Linked DNA regions of Caenorhabditis elegans. The protein of the gene in region 2 interacts with the protein of the main gene of each other region in a pairwise test. Each region holds a gene or a part of one and is shown on either strand. Other genes may lie near its edges. The genes, in order: hat-1 and nhr-37.

Evidence for each region.
Region 1: the proteins of nhr-37 (region 2) and hat-1 interact in a two-hybrid assay, tested with the Caenorhabditis elegans proteins (one large-scale study listed by BioGRID).

What each region holds. Positions count from the first base shown.
Region 1 is NC_003281.10:10,404,478-10,409,074, forward strand, and holds hat-1 (Histone acetyltransferase type B catalytic subunit), read right to left. Parts: upstream 2,772-4,597; 5' UTR 2,765-2,771; coding exon 2,683-2,764; intron 2,638-2,682; coding exon 2,217-2,637; intron 2,170-2,216; coding exon 2,110-2,169; intron 2,031-2,109; coding exon 1,358-2,030; 3' UTR 771-1,357; downstream 1-770. Other genes in the region: ATP-dependent DNA helicase chl-1, read right to left, coding at 258-360, 422-759; M03C11.3 (PH domain-containing protein), read left to right, coding at 3,786-3,810, 3,885-4,120, 4,524-4,597.
Region 2 is NC_003283.11:6,620,306-6,625,458, reverse strand, and holds nhr-37 (Nuclear Hormone Receptor family), read right to left. Parts: upstream 3,266-5,153; 5' UTR 3,192-3,265; coding exon 3,022-3,191; intron 2,973-3,021; coding exon 2,914-2,972; intron 2,320-2,913; coding exon 2,258-2,319; intron 2,206-2,257; coding exon 2,011-2,205; exon of another isoform or gene 2,004-2,010; intron 1,958-2,003; coding exon 1,652-1,957; intron 1,605-1,651; coding exon 1,510-1,604; intron 1,264-1,509; coding exon 1,148-1,263; intron 1,101-1,147; coding exon 949-1,100; intron 901-948; coding exon 802-900; 3' UTR 683-801; downstream 1-682. Other genes in the region: ppt-1 (Palmitoyl-protein thioesterase 1), read left to right, coding at 174-272, 485-682.

The DNA.
Region 1 (4,597 bases), on a different chromosome or scaffold from region 2:
ATGTAACTATTCTATTGTGTATCTATTCATATTGTGGAATCTATTCTATATCTATCTTGCTATATAATACTGTTAACATTTTTTCACATTTCTCAAAAAATTAGCAATACTGAAGGTTTGTATTTAAAAATTTGGAATTTTTGCGTATTTCAAGGTTTTTCCAGAAAAAAAAAGCCAGGTTCTAGTCAGAAATCTTGAAATTTTCCGAAAAAACGGTCAGCCACATGTGAATTTCCGGATAAAAGTTCAATTATTACATCTTGAGGTTCGAGAAACTGATCCGTATCCCTGGCCGGGGCTTTTCTCTTTCTGGAGACCTCGACCATTCCTCGCCGGGCTTGATCGATTCGTGACTGCAATCTGAATGATTTTTTTCATTTAAAAAAAAATTAAAAAAGAATAATTATTCAATTTCCAACACCTTTCCCGACTCTGAATTTGCTCCAAAATCTCCGTCTCTACGTCTTGAGCTCGCATTTTCTCACGAACTGCCGTCTCCCAATTGTCGGCGGTGGTGATTTTATCGCATTCCGTGATTTTCGTGTGAACCTCCCCGAGCCGTGTGCTCAAATCAGTCGAAATTCGTAGTTCTTCAGCTTCCAGCCACGTCATCGTCGAGCACAACACGCTGAGCGACTTTCCGGTGCCTGTTGGAGATTCGAAAATGCCAATTTTCCGTTGTTCAATGCATTGGCGGATTTCTCGCATCAAATTGAGTTGAATGTCGTATGGTTGAAATGGAAATGAGAATTCGTCCATTCTGCTGGGATAGAGTGAGAGATCATTTATTTCGGTGAGTTTTTTTTTTGTAATTGAAGAATAATATATAAGAAGATAAAAATATATTCGGGATTTTCAACTGGGAATTCGATTTTTAGCTGAGAGTTTAGAGAGCGGAAAAATTCATGAAACATTCACAATAAGTCAAATAGGACCCAAAGCGATTTTCACGCCAAAAATACGGTGCCTGGTCTCGCAACGAAACATGTTTGTTAAACGCGAAAATTTGTGCGCCTTTAAAGAGTACTGTAGCTTCAAACTTTTGCTATTGCGGATTTTCGTCGATTTTTCGTAGATCACAATCAAAACCCAAAAAAACTTTAACAAATGCTGGGAAAAACTATGAAAACCTGATAAAAATCGTTAAAGGCGCACACTTTTTCGCATTTATCATACATTTTTCTCTTCGAGACCGGATACCGTACTTTTGGCGCAAAATTTCGCGTATGGGTAATAACGGCAAGGGAATTTTGCAAATTTACAGCAAATTTAGACGAATTTCGTGGTAATTAGCTTTAAAAAAAATACAAAAATCCCACATGTAATTTCAAATTAAAATAAGATACAGATACAACGATTAAAAAATGCTTGGATGCTGCTCAATTCGATCAATAGTTTTTTGATAGGCCTCCATAAGCCGATCATAATTCTGTGAGAGCGTCGAGAACTTGGTTTCCTCATCCATTTGTCCACAGGCCGCTTGTCGAAGCTCATCGGGTGTCAACGCGAGATTCAGACGCTTCCAGTCCTGATCCGATTTCTTCATTGGTGCATACAACCGACGTTTCACATCGATTCTCTGCGCTTTCAGCTCTTCTTTATCCTTCTTATTTGTAGCACGATAACGCAAAATTTCATAGACTCGACGGGCTTGTTGTCTGGAAATCTTGAGCTTTTCCAGTGCGGCCTGACGCATTTTGTCCGAGTATCCCCTCTTGAGATTCTCCGGTGCAAATTCCCGCAGTGTCATGCAGTTGACACAATCCACATAGTCACGGAGGCTGACGAACTGATCTCCGGGAGACTCGACGGTTACGTCGAAAACTTCTGGAGAGGCACGAAGATCTCGCAGGAAAGATTCCATGAAACTGGCTCCAATTCCAGATTTTCTGTATTGAGGGAGCAATAGCATCTGTGCAATTCGTGGACGGATCCTGTCAATGTAGTTGTAGAATTTGAAGAGTGTCGCGTAGCCAGCCACGTTGGCCACAGTACTTCCATCTCCTTCACCGGTGTCGCAGCGTTCGTAGCTGGAAAATTGAAAAATATTTGAAATGCGTTCGATTTTTTGTAATTTCTGGAATTCGCCGCGAAATCTTCTCAACTTACATAAAATAGTGAAGCCAATTGTCTTCAGTGTTATCTGTCAGTGAGCAGCACTCGATGAAGCTGAAAAAAAAATTTTGTAGGAAAATCCTTATTTTTTAAGCACTCACAACATGCCGAGAGTCTGGATTCTTTCTAGGAAAAGGTTGAACTCTTCGGTTTGCTCGGCGACTTTGTAGACCTCGTAGCTCTTTCCTTTCAGCTCAAACTTGTGTACCATCTCACCGAAAGGCTTGAAATCCTTCTGTTTGATGAGCTTCTGCTGGAATTCTTCTTTTCCCGAAACCAGAACATTCGGACGAACGTCTGGATGAACCAGCTTATCAATGACGTCATCGGCCTCCAGTCCGTTTTCGTTTTTCGCTTTTGAGGAATAGCTCACGTTTATGTAGCTGTAGAGGGTTTGAGCTGTGTGATGGATGGTAACCTCGAGATCTTCGTAGCCGAAGATTGTCTCCTCATCTCCGAAATGCTGATAGACCATCTCTGGTTCGTAGCGTGGCGCAGTACTGATTTCTTGCATGTTTTTTACTGAAAAATGGGAACTTTCAAGCGAAAATTCGGTTAAACTCTTACAAAATGTCATTTTAACGACAGCAAGTCCGTCGGAAATGTATCTCCGATTGCGATTGACATTCGTGACGTCCTCCATAACCATGCTGAAACTGTTAAAGAGTTGAAAACGCCATTGAACCTTGAAAATCGCGAAACAAGACGATATTTAATCAATTTATTTACCGATTTTGCGTGGAAAATGAGAAAAAATGAAGGAATTCCGACGAAAATAAAAGAATAAAATTTAAAAAAGTTTCCCGCGGGCTTTCTCACTTCGTAAATCGACACAAAAGTGTCTCTTCGCGGCGAGACCCGTTGACTTTCGCAACCTCTCATAAGAGATGGCGTTCTCTCCGACTGTCTGAGTGTCGCGCGTCTCTCACGGCCACACACTCTCTCGTCGCGCTTTTTTCGAAATACGCCGTGCGAGTTGGCACGTTGCCAGGGATCTTCTGATGGATCCGTGCTGTTTTTCACGCCTCCGGGTGAATTTTTATCGATTTTTCAGAAATTTTTCGCTTATCTCCCGGAATTTTCATCCCAAAACGGATAAATTGATTGATCAAGTTGATTCGTGAAGTTTAGTTGCATCATAAAAATTATAAACAAACAAAAATATCGAATTTCAAGCGTTTTCCCCGTAAAATGTCTCATTTTTATTGTGAAAAATGGCGCAAAACCGCATTATTTTGCTCTAATTGCCCGGGTTTCGCGGTTTTCTCACGATAATTAGATAAAAAAGAGTTAATTTCCATAGTTCGGCGGATTTTCGAGAATTTTTGTTGTTTTGTTCAATTAAAACTTTGTTAAAATCAGAAATTAAGTTTTTTAAAACTCGTTGTGAGATTTTTCATCGCAAAATTTATAAATTTTTCCTATTTATATAAAAGTTTTGCTATTTTACCATTTTTCCGTTATATTTTTGTTGAAAACAACCAAATTTCATTGGAATTTTTTGAAAAATATCAAAAAGAATTGGTTTTTTCAACGGTTTTAATGTAAAAATATTTTTTTTCAATCGAATTTTCTCTCACAAATCCGCTCAAAATTGTCAAAAATCATTTTTAAAAAATCGAATTTTCAGAAGATTCCAAGCAACAAGTTGATGGGAAGACCATCAAATAATGCATGAGCGTTCGACAAGAACAGGTAAATTAAATTCCACTGAAAATTTCTGAAATTTCACGGATTTTCCATGTGAAATGTCCTCTAATCCATATCAGAATTGAAGGAAAACCTCGGACCAACAACGTTTTCAAATACGAGCAACATCAGCAGAAGTATCCCATCGGATTGTATGGTGATAATAGGTGGCACAATTCCTGCCTCACATCACTCGTTCCCTGGTATGGAACATGATCGTTCATTGTTCGATGCGTCGTCTTCTTCTTCAAATGGAGGAGGATTATCGCAATTTGTTGAGCAACGTGATACAAATGACGATGAACGAGAGATTGAGGTAAAAAATTGGCGTTTTTTAACCCTAGAAACTGGATTTCTAACTGATTTTGTGGAGAAATAAAATAAAAATTAAATTTTAAGTTAGTTTTGTTGAAAAAATGGATTAAAAAAGGTTTTAATCTAATTTTGTCCAAAAAATCTAAAAACATGATTTCCAACCAATTTTGTCAAAAAAAAAGAATTTTAAAAATGATTTTAACCTAATTTCTCGATAAAATGTATCAAAACATGATTTTAATTTAATTTAGTCGAAAAAATATATTAGAAACATGTTTTGAAACTAATTTTTCCATTAAATAGATTTTTAAAAACGATTTTGTAAAAAAAACTTATTAAAAACATGTATGAATGCACATTTTAATCGATTTTCCTATTGTTTTTCTCAATTTCTCAATTTTCAGGCCGCCGCTGCAGCGTCAGAAGCTCAACTAAAGTCATCATTTGTCGCATCGACGTCTGTCGGTGTTCCAACCAG
Region 2 (5,153 bases):
GATTGAAAATTATAACTTTTTCTGTAAAAAGATGCGCCGGGATTAGTTTAATGAACGGTGGTGCTTTATTTTCTTTTCTAAAAATTATTCCTGCCGGTTGACATTTGAATTTCAAAATCGTTAGAAAATCGTAATCATTAAAATAATTGAAAAAAAAAGTATTTTTGTTTCAGAATAACAACCCGACTTACAAACGCAACTTATTGAGTCTCAAAAACCTGGTTCTGGTGAAATTCAATCAAGATCATATGGTTGTACCAAAGGATTCATCTGTGAGTGGTTTTTTTTGTTTTGCAGTTTCCGAAAGTAGACTATAGTCGCCTATAGGCGAGGGTCGCCAAAAGCTTGTTAATGCAGGCCGGAGTTTTCCCGAGTATTCTCATTCTAATGGGTACAAAGAGCCACACAGGCAACAGACATTTTGTACCACCTGTCACGGTTCTCACGCTGAAATATTTTATAAAGTCTCAATAATTTATTCCAGTGGTTCGGGTTCTACAAAGACGGTGATATTGACACAATTCTCCCAATGAACGAAACCGACCTGTACAAAGAGGATCGTATTGGATTGAAGAAGCTTCATGAGAGTGGACGAATCCATTTTATGGACGTGGATGGAGATCACTTGCAAATTCCAAGAAGTGTGCTTGTCAACGATATTATCAAAAAATATTTTATGTGAACTTGTTTGATTTTCAAAAAGAAACAACTCGTATTGTAAAACTCGTACGTAAAAATGAATTATGAAATTATCATGACTGGTTGTGTGAGCATTTTCTTGATTTGGGTTCCCATCATTTTCTAAAACATCTCGAAAAAATACGGCTCCGAGATTTCGGCATGAAAGATGTCAAAAAGCCAGAAGAGCTCCTTGATCTTTGATTTCTCACGAGAGATTCTCTAAAAATAGGGGGAAAATCAGAAAACTTAAAAAAAAATTTGGCAAACCTTCATGGATTTGACCAGTTTCATAAGAATCAGAAGCCGATGAGAATACATTTTGATATCCGTCCGATTTGTATAATAAACGTGCATTTGGTCAGCAATTTCTGCTCGCATTTGTTCGCAAGCTTCTCGTGTTTCATGAGAAAGATCACCTTCTAAAATTAAAGTTAATAAAAATTTGATTGATGTTTTTTTTTTTTACCTTCAAGTCCAATAAGGTGAACCATACAAAAAACGACTTCTTCCGTAGTTGGCTTGAGATCAAGAAGTGGCCTTGCAACTTCATCTATGTAACGGTGTAGGAAGGGTTCGAATAGTCTGAAAATTACAAAAATACAAATATAAAAATGTTCAAAGATTTTTCATCATTATATCTTTCTCGACATAGCGGCAAAAATTGTTTTGTTGAATTTTCAGTATTTCAATTAATTTTATAGTAAAGAAAATGCTGTATCAAAATGTGATCCTAAAACCAACGCAACTTTGAGTAGGCTTTTCAGAACATTGACAAATTTCAATCAGCGAATTGTGGGCATTTCAAAGTTTTTGAAACAGAAAACTCACTTGTTGAAATATTGATTCGTGAGATCAGTTATCGAGGCAAAGTCAATATGAGTTGATTCCAATTTCATTGCGAGATCATCATTGATAAGTATATACTGAAAAACAGTTGATATTTTTAAAAATAATTAAAAACTATTCTCACTCCTCCTCGAATGACTCCTTCTTCAAAAATCTTGACAGACATTTCTAGGCGCTCAAATGTTCTAACGACATTCCAAGAAGATCGGAAGAGCTGCATTTTTTGATCCATGGGTAGAGACATTAAAGATTTTGAAGAGGAAAACCAACAAGAGTACATATAGATTCGATCATTGAGCCAATCAATAGCAGATTTCAGCTCGACTTTGTCAAGAAAAGAGATTTGACTTTGAGCTTTTTGATTTTTCCTAAACTTTTTCAATGCAGACGTCAAAGTAGTCAGTTCACAATCGTCGCCTTTTGTTTTATGCTGAACATAAAATAACAAAATTTTCACTTTCAATGTTTTTCGCTTCAACTTACCGAAAATGACGTTTCAATTTTCTTCACCAAGTCATTAAAACTGATAACCATGTTCGGCTTATCCGGTGTTTTTGGCGAGAAGGTGAACAAAAAGTTCGGATCAATTCCAGGTGACTCCACCGAGTTCTTCCGGCTCAAGTTGGTCGGGCTGTAATCAGATTGAGCTGGGCTTCCATTTGGCGTAGAGAATTCGTCCTGAAATGTAGTAAATAAAATAATTGTTTTTAATTTAAAAAACAAAACTCACACTTCCACTATCCTCCATCAAACCGCGAAACGAGTACGTTGGGTCATAGTCCAATTGAACTTCTGAAAAATGAGTATATTTTACTAGAAAAAGAAGAGAAAAAAAGAAGAGAAAAATAATTGGACTCTGTAAAATTTGCAGAAAAAAACGCTTTTGGTTAAATTCCAAAAGAATGGCAGCAAAATTTTTGACAGTAATTGAAATTTTATTTGTGTTTTGGAAAGGATTTAGTTATTTCACCACTAGCAAAAATGAGTGGTGATTTTTAGCAATTTTCAAAATTCAACATTATGTAAAAAAAGGAAATAGGGCACTTTTGTATTTAATGCCCTCATTTTGAAATTATTTAAGCTATAAAAAAAACCTTTGGAATATTTTTGTAATTTTCGGACTTCGGAAAAAATCCTTTCTAAGCCTAAAGAGTAAAAATCAAACATAGAGATGATCTAGAAATTTTGTTAGGATTTTTTATTTTTCAGAAAAAATTATTTTTCTGCGTATTCCACAAAACCTATTCACATGAAGTTTTTGAAAATTTGTCAAACCAATTTTCGCAACAATTTTTCACAAAAACTTTTGATGTAAAATTTTTTGATGTGCACGATATGCACTTGAAAATCTTGCAAGTTTTTATTTTTTTGGAAAAAAAAACATACTCTCTTCATTCATCCCGATTGCTTTGCACTTTGTCAGACGACACTGCCGGCAGACATATCTATAAACAAAACGTGAATTTTCTGATTTTGAAGACTATAGTAACTCACCTTCCACGACCATCAATATTGCATTTTGAATTCCCCTGCTTACATTTATACTGTAATTTCAGTACAGTAGCCCTTCGAAAGAATGCGGCGCACGCTCGGCAGGTGAGTGCACCGAAATGCATTCCATTTGAAGCTTTTTTGCAAACCAAGCATGACTTGTCAGGTACCATTTTTAGATTCTGAGAAGGAAAAAAAGTGTGATCATCATTTTGTAATATGCAAATTGGGTGTTGTCATTCTAAGAGATCTCTACCAGATATGTTATTAGAGAAATGAAAAACGTAGAGAGGAGAGGAAAAGATCAAGTGACCACCGAAAAGGGTTTATATTTGAGAAAAAAAAAGAGGGAAACTTGAAGGAAAAATGAACGTACCTACATGTCAAATTTTGAGACTGAAAACCCAGCCTCAAATCACAAAGTTATCACAGCAATTTTTTGGTACTTTTCTTCACATGTAAGGCAAGATCAGAAGAGAGACATTTTCGGCTGGGGGAAGACGTCATGTCGGCATGTTCTCTGATCGTTACGCTGGTCGAAGACGTAGGAATCTCAGACAAACAATTAAAATCTCACCCCCTTCCGAAAAGAGATAGTCTAGTTGTAGTGGAAGGAAAAGCATAATGACAATTATCAGGATGAAGTGGTGAATTTGGCTAACCGTATTTTCAGAAAACTTTAGCTGGAGTTGTATGAAACGTTTTAAAAATGTGCCTAGGGATACTATAGATACTGAAAGTTCTTAAAATAGAAAACTCAGAAATTTCATATTCGATCTGATGATAAAAGATTTTGAATTTACTTTCCACTTGAAAAGACCACCTCAAAAATTTGTTTCAAAATGTTTTTATGTTCGATGAACCAAAAAGGAAAAAAGTCAGAAAAAAAAGATTTTCGGAATGTGAGAATTTTGGGTTTTCTTGAATTTTATAGGAAAACAATCCCCTTCTGATTACTGCTACATACATTGTACAATTTTTTTAAAAGTGCACACATTGGTACATGATTTGTGATAGAAAATTTTAAGTCAAAATTGTAACTTCGATGGAATTGCGGAAAATCAGAAACAAAAACATTTTAGAATTGCTAGATTGATAGTGACCGATTTAGAATTTTGGATAAAATACGTTGAGCTACTTTATATAGAGGCAACCGATCTTGTCCATCTAATTCGAAACATGTATGTCTTTTGTCGTTTCTATGTTCACATCTGTCTGCGTCTCTTCATAAATTGTCAATCTCTAGCTGTCAATTGCTACTCGGTCTACGAGCATCGATTCACACGCGACCTGTGTTCGCCGAATTGGACTTCCGCAAAACTTTCAAAAGACTAATGTCATCTGATTAGTCTGCGTCTCCGATAGACTGTCATCTGCAGGTAGCCGTCCACCATCCTTGCATCTTCATTGCCAGCCTCGAACCTTTGCCAAACGCTGCAAACTTTTGACAGATCCCGCCTCCCGACCCGCAAGATGATTCGTTAATGCGTTTGGGCCCGATGTCTTATCGTCGCCCTCTACAACACTTGACTCATGAAATAGGACATGGAGACCAGAAAAAGAGAAAAATATTGTGTCTGTTGACGGGGAAAGTTGTTCATTTTTAGGGCATATAACTGTATATATGTTTCAAAAGTTCCTGATCTAGACTGATTCAATTGGGAACAATCATTTTTCTATTCATTTAGATCAGTTGATAGACATCAGATATGTTTTCTCCGATTTTCTTACCCGATGAGTAATAAATTTGCCAAATATGTAGTTCGCATATTTTCCGAGATATCATGATATTTTGTCAATTTGCAAAAGTAGCATCAAAGTAACAACTAGTACAACAATGTTATTCATATAAATTCAATTCACCGCTTTATTAAGTATGCATGTCAAGGAAAACTATTCCCTCAAGTTAAAAAAAAATAAATACAAATAAGTTTAGTCCTATAGTACATAAACTGAAGACTAATTTCAAGTTAACAAGTCTACCATATTTTCCCTACTGGATTTGTACCCCAATTGCTTTACTTTGACGGCTCATATCTCGGTTGTACTAAAATTAATCACAAATATACTGTTAGTGAAATACAGAAGATTATTTAGCACGTATTTTGTCAGTTTACAGTTTTCTGACAAAAGCA